Macaca fascicularis: one gene and its partner. The protein of the gene in region 1 interacts with the protein of each later gene in a biochemical or structural test. Links are inferred from orthologs where the notes say so. Each region holds a gene or a part of one and is shown on either strand. Other genes may lie near its edges.

Region 1 (3,986 bases):
CAGTAGCTTGGCTTAGTTGAAGAAACACTGTGCCTAGTACTGTGTCACATAAACAGATGGCAGATTGGCACAGAAACACTGCAACTGGAGTCATAAAACCCCATGTTGTGCTCCAGTCTTACTAATTCCTCTAAATCAGTCACCATCTCTCTGAAGGTTAAATTTGTCCAACTAAAAAACCGGGGAAAATAATAACTAATTTATTTGTATTCAGAATTTGCTTTTCAATACTATCTACAATCATATGTATATCTATTCATTACAACAGGCAAACCATTCTAAAGACAAATAAAAATTTAGAAAAATTATCTGGCAAAATGTAAAAATGCACACTGCAAAAAGCAAAAATTAATTTCATAAGATCATTCAGATATGAAACAGATTTTTAAAGATCAGACCATCAGCTTGATTTGACAGATGAAAAAACTGTGATGTCTGATGCCAAAATGTTAGTTTTTGTGACCTAAGTAAAACAAAGTTCCAGACCGGAACTCAGATCTCCCCACCTTCATGTGGTGGTAGTGCTCTTCAGGACTGATGTGACTGTTCGCTATCTAAGTGAAACATGATATTCAAATTTCATTCAAGAAAAGTTTAATGTGCTATTTCTGCTTCTATTTTTATTCAGTAAAATTTAGATAATACCAACTACATATGAAGAATTCTGCTAGGCACTAAGGGTAATAAAAAGTAAACTCTAGTTCCAGTTCTAAAAGCACTCTGAATCCAATCACAGAGACAAATACACACACAAATAAGTACCAAGACACCATTTTAGCTACAACAATGCAAAGAAACAAATTTTTACTCTAGAAATACAATGGAGGGAACGATTTTACTGTTTGCTAACAGAATGTAATAATTAAGAAAATAATACAACATGACCAAATGGGATTTATCCTAGAGGTAAAGGATTGGTTCAATTAGGAAATCTATTAGTACATACCGTATTCATAAATCTAAGGCAGGTAGCAAACATACAATTTTCTCCATACCACTGAGATGGAGTGTATGTGACAAAATTCAACACCCATTTGAAACCCAACACTCAAGGAAACAAGAATTAAGAGGTAATTTCTCAAAATGATAAAATATATACATTTTAGTCCTACCACCATTAAATTATTTAATAAAGAAATAACAAAGGCATTTCCACTAAGATTAGCAAAAAGGCAAAGATGCCCACCATTTCTACTACTATTATTGTTTTCTGAGACGGTGTCTCGCTCTGTCACCCAGGCTGGAGTGCAGTGGCGCGATCTTGGCTCACTGCAACCTCCACCTCCCAGGTTCAAGCGATTCTCTTGCCTCAGCACCTGCCTCCAACCACCCAGAGTAGCTGGAATTACAGGTGCCTGCCACCACGCCCAGCTAATTTTTTGTAGAGACAGGGTTTCACCATGTTGGCCAGGCTGGTCTTAAACTCCTGACTTCAGGTGATCCACCTGCCTCAGCCTCCCAAAGTGCTAGGATTACAGGCGTGAGCCACCACGCCCAGCCATTTCTACTACTATTCAACATCATACTAGAGGTATTAGCCAAATCAACTAGTTAAGAAAAATCAATCAGATAAATAATAGGTAAGGAGAAAGTAAAACTATCTTTATTTGCAGATGATATAATAGTAGCCTAAAAACCCTTGAAGAATCAATAATAAAATTAACTCAAAAATAAGATTCAATGAAGTAGCAAGACAATAAATTAACATACAAAAAATAGTTCTCCTATACAAAATCAATAATCAGAGAAAATAATGGCAGAGAAAATCCCATTTATAGTAGCAACAAAAAGATTAAATACTTAGGAATAAACTAAACAACGTGTAAAAACCACACAAGGAAAATTTCAGCACCACTGAAAGACACTGAAGAACACCTGAGCAAACAGAAAGACATCCCCATTCTTAGACAGGATGACAACATTATAAAGATGACATTTCTCCCTTACTTTATAAATTCGAGAAAATACAATGAAAATACTAACAAGCTATTCTGTAAAGTTTGGAAAGTTGATGTTCAAGTTGATATGGAAAATCAAACATGCAAGAATAGGTAGGAAGACATTGAAAAAGGAAAACCACAAGTAGACCACCTTTACAAACACTACAACACCAAAAATCACCTATAATTAAAGCAGTGTGGGACTAGACATAAATAGACCAGTGGAATTTAAAAAGTCTAGAATTAGACCCAAACATACCCAGAAATTTAGTAAATAACAAAGGTGGCATCTCAAATCACTAAAGTACAGATGGACTTTTCTATAAATGGTGCCAGGAAAACTAGGTATCCATTTGGAAAATATAAAACTTGATCTCTATCTCATATCATACTCCAGAATAAACTCCAAATAGATTAGGAATCTAGATATAAAACATGAAACCAGAGAAAGTACTGAAAGGAGCTGGGCACATTCCTCAGCCCCCGGGCTCGAAACTCCCTGAGCCTGGTACAAACACATCCCATCCTCCCATCCCACCACATACTGCCATATATCTCTCAAACTCCCTGAGCCCAGTACAAACACCACCTGGAAAGTCTCCGATAAGGAGACGGCCATTCAAGTTTTTACTGAAAGCACGAGAATCAAAAGAATTCCTTTGTTCCCCTGTAACTCTCGGGCTATAAAAAGCAAACGCTCGCATTGTTCGGGGCCCTCTTGTATACTGTGGAATGGAGGGACCAAGTTCGAACTTGTAGTAAAGATCCTTGCTGCTTGGCTTGGACACTGGACTCTGGTGGTCTTCTTTGGGGAACAAACAGTCTGGGCATAACATCTGGGGGCTCGTCCGGTATTCCCCAAGCCCACCAGACCCCTGGTCAACGGATCTGCTAGGATCGATCTACTGATAGGTGAGCTGGCTCGTCTCCGTTTGTCTGTCTGTGTCTGTATGTCTGTTCTGAATCTGAATCTGACTCGCGAGGTCTGAAACTGGAGCTGGCACAGTCCTGGCGGACGCGCTATAGGACAGCCAGCGGAGACCGGTGGGAGACGTCCCCTGGCTCTCTTCTGATTTAAATTGCCATCTGAGCTGCCGGAGCGCGTTCGCGATCCGGGCAGCAGCTGACTCTGACCCCGACTGCCGGGGCGCGCTGGCGGTCTGAGTTGCCGGAGCGCGTTCGCGATCCGGGCAACAGCTGACTCTGCCCCGGTTCTCGGGCGCGCGCATGTGATTTGAATTGCCCCGGTTCCCGGGCGCACGCGTGCGGTCTGAATTGCCCCGGTTCCCGGGCGCGCGCGTGCGGTCTGAATTGCCCCGGTTCCCGGGCGCGCGCGTGCGGTCTGAATTGCCCCGGTTCCCGGGCGCGCGCGTGCGGTCTGAATTGCCCCGGTTCCCGGGCGCGCGCGTGCGGTCTGAATTGCCCCGGTTCCCGGGCGCGCGCGTGCGGTCTGAATTGCCCCGGTTCCCGGGCGCGCGCGTTTGCGGCCCCAGTCCCCGGGCTCCCAGCTTCCAGCGTGCCTTTGCGGCCCCGGTCCCCGGGCTCCCGGCGCGCACTTCCGGCCCCGGTCCCCGGGCTGCCAAAGTGCGCTTGCGACTAGCTATCATTAATAAGTCAGATCAGATTTCCTTTACAGGGATTCTAACCCACATTCCTTTACAGGAAGAGACACAGAAAGTGAGAATGAGTGAGAGAGAGACCATAAAAGACGGGAGAGGGAAAAAGTGAGAAGGAAAATCGGAAAGAGAAAGGGGAGGAAACGGCAGACGTGGAGAGTCAGAGAGAGAGACAGAAAAAAAAAAGAGACTGAATGTAAAGGAAAAAGGACACGGGATGACAGATAGAGGGAAAGAGCAGGCGGACGGGAGGCGGCCGCCGCACCCAGACCCGCCCCCGGGCTGAGTCGCGGGAGGGAGCAGGCGGAGGGGAGGCGGCCGGCACTCACGAGCCCGCTAAAAGGGAAAGTAACTTTGTAGGGCTGGCAGGGCAAACGCGAGGGCGCACTTCGCGGACTAGCACCCCCCCCCAGCCGCCTGACTCCACAGT
Region 2 (2,839 bases), on another chromosome or scaffold:
GAAGGAAAGACAAACAGGGAGTAGAAGGGCTTGTGGGGACAGAGAAAGGATTCAGATGCCAAGAGGACAGCAACCACTGCCAAACAAAGAGAATACCCCACTCGACCTCCCGAAACCCAGAGGGTGAGAGAGAGAGGGGCCACCCCATGAAACCATAACAACTTTGTTTTTGTTTAAAATCCAGTAAATTGGAATGACTCATCATCAGGACAGCAATTAGGGATTGGTCATATAGGTGGACAGGAAAAAGGAGGGGAGGCAGGGGAGGCAAGGCTCTTGCTGGGCATGCGGACATGATACCCAGGGCCCTGGCCACACTTGCAGTGGAGAGGAAGGGGTAGGACTGGGGCAGGGTGACAGCAGGTATGTCAGGGGTGGGTGGGGTGCTTGGTTAGGGCTGTCTGGCTCTCACTTCTTGTTTTTGAGCTGATTGGCCAGCCAGTCCAGGCCTTCGTACAGCCCGTCCCCGCTGGTGGCACAGGTGGCCTGAATGTACCAGTTACGGTGACGAAGGGAATGCAGGCCCAGCTTGTCTGTGATCTCAGCAGCATTCATAGCATTAGGCAGATCCTGGAGCACGTGGGAGACACACAAAAAGAAGCCTCAGGATTTTTTAAAGGCTTCTAGAACACCCATCTACCAAAGAAATGTGTACCAGCACCTTCCCCTCCTCCTTTATTTTAGGAAACCCAGACCAAGATCCTAAGGAGCTACTTTGGATTTAGTCACCCTAAAACCCAAGATCCAAGGCACTGGAGGTCACTGTACTGAGGAATTGGAAACCAAATACGAGATTGGTGGGGAAGCAAGAGACGTGATTCAAACTGACCAAAGAATCAGGTCTGTCTGACAGCAGGAGTGAGGCCAATTCACCTAAAGTAGATAATAGGCAAGATGAAAGAAAGATTTGAGGCAATCCCTGAGGACTGCAATGTTGCTAAATAAAGCTGGGGTGGGGCACGAGAAGAGGGGCATAAAGAAGCCAACTGCTCAATTTCCCACACTTCTAAAATTGAGAGCATACTAAAAGGGTTTACCATATAATAGGCCCAAGACCCAACAATTTCCACAGCCAGTTTGCTGTCTCCCAGATTCTGGGGTGGGAAGAAGTCTCACCTGTTTGTTTGCAAAGACAAGGAGTACAGCATCCCGGAGCTCGTCCTCTGCCAGCATTCTCATCAGCTCTTCCCGGGCCTCATTTACTCGCTCCCGATCATTGCTGTCGACCACAAATATCAACCCTAGGGAGGCAGAGCATGGGCTGCACTAAGATGACAGGTAACCCCCTCCCCCCAACAAGAAGACACTTGCCTGACACCCTCCAAATATTTGCTCCCTTTCCTCCCTTTCTTCTGCCCCCAGGAGCTATAGCAGGGTAACAGTTGGCCACCCATAAACAAGAAAGACAGCCACACACTCTGCTCAAACCCAACCAACCCATGCTAGGCCTGGGCATACCTTGGGTGTTCTGGAAGTAGTGTCTCCAGAGGGGCCGAATCTTGTCCTGGCCACCCACATCCCACACTGTGAAGCTGATGTTCTTATACTCCACTGTCTCCACATTGAATCCTTTGGGAAAAAAACAGGCAATGGTCACTTGGCCTCAAACACTAGCCCTGCAACCACCACCACAATGAGTTTGGTTCTGCTTTCTCCCAGTGGTGGCCATGACACCAACAATGGAAAAAAGCCTAAGGCTTCCTCAGACCTGGTAATCGTTAACCTAGCAGCCTGAAGGCCAAAATGAAAACCGAAGAGAAGTCGAAGAAGATGAGGAAAGTCGGTCAAGAGGTTCACAGTTGCTTGGGTAACGTGGGCCAACTTTCCTGACTTTTCCACTGAGTCTTTGGTGCTCCCTTCTACAAAATGACTCAGCCCTACTCTGGTACTTTGGCTACCAGAGTTGGCCTCAGCTAAGATGTGAGGCCTGAGAGGCAGAGTGAAGAAAGGGAAGTAAGCTGGCATCCTGGAGCCCCAAAGGCAGAGCCAGCTGAGAATGCTGACTGGAGCCCCCACTACATGGCAAATGTTCTCCCTCCCTTCAGCAGACTGTAACCAAGATTGGCCACCAAAGACCTAAACCCAAGCAATTCCAAGCCTTTGGAAGGAACATCAAAGCCTTTCACCTGCTTTCCAAACAACACAGAGAAAAAACCAACTCCATGCCTGAGGGCAACTGTTGAGTGCCAGGCCATGGAAGTTCCTGCATCAGGGAGAGCCAGGTTAGGTGGGCAAACAGCAGCCCCAGCATCTGCTAGTAAGCTAAACAACACCCCCCTCTTTTCTGAACCCCACAAATTGTATGGACTTGCCTGGGGAGAAGAGGCCAGGTGGGAGAACCAGGAATAGGTCCCTGCCCTGACTCAGCTGCTGGCATGAAAGCCCACATCCAAGCTCTGCTCTTACCAATGGTAGGGATGGTGGTGACGATCTCCCCCAGTTTCAGCTTGTATAGGATGGTGGTCTTTCCTGCGGCATCCAGGCCCACCATCAGGATGCGCATCTCCTTCTTCCCAATCAGGCTCTTGAGAAGGTTTCCAAAGATATTGCCCATGATCACAGCAACTGCTTTCTGGGGACAGTGGGGCCCAAGTAGGGGGCAGTGGCAGTCTGGTTTTGGCCTGGTCCCTGGTATGGAAGACCTGATCCTAGACAAAGGAAATGTAAAATCGTACCATCATTTGCTTGTCAGGACTTCCACGTAATTAGAATTTCCCAAGGTCATGGCTAGAGTTCATTCATGACAAACCGAGAGTCTGAGGGGACTATAAATACCAAGGCCCACTTAACATACTGAGTCTTTGGGAACAGAGACAAAGCAGTAAACACTAAGGATCCC

Evidence for each region. The genes of interacting proteins can lie anywhere in the genome.
Region 2: the proteins of ARFIP1 (region 1) and ARF3 form a complex in vitro, tested with the Homo sapiens proteins (2 studies listed by BioGRID). The link is inferred for Macaca fascicularis from reciprocal best matches to the Homo sapiens genes ARFIP1 and ARF3.

The regions. Positions count from the first base shown.
Region 1 is NC_088379.1:157,703,775-157,707,760, reverse strand, and holds the start of ARFIP1 (arfaptin-1), read right to left. Parts: upstream 2,801-3,986; 5' UTR 2,772-2,800; coding exon 2,643-2,771; intron 1-2,642. UniProt on the Homo sapiens protein: Plays a role in controlling biogenesis of secretory granules at the trans-Golgi network. Mechanistically, binds ARF-GTP at the neck of a growing secretory granule precursor and forms a protective scaffold.
Region 2 is NC_088385.1:55,751,915-55,754,753, forward strand, and holds part of ARF3 (ADP-ribosylation factor 3), read right to left. Parts: intron 2,649-2,839; coding exon 2,407-2,648; intron 1,570-2,406; coding exon 1,459-1,569; intron 1,242-1,458; coding exon 1,117-1,241; intron 571-1,116; coding exon 409-570; 3' UTR 1-408.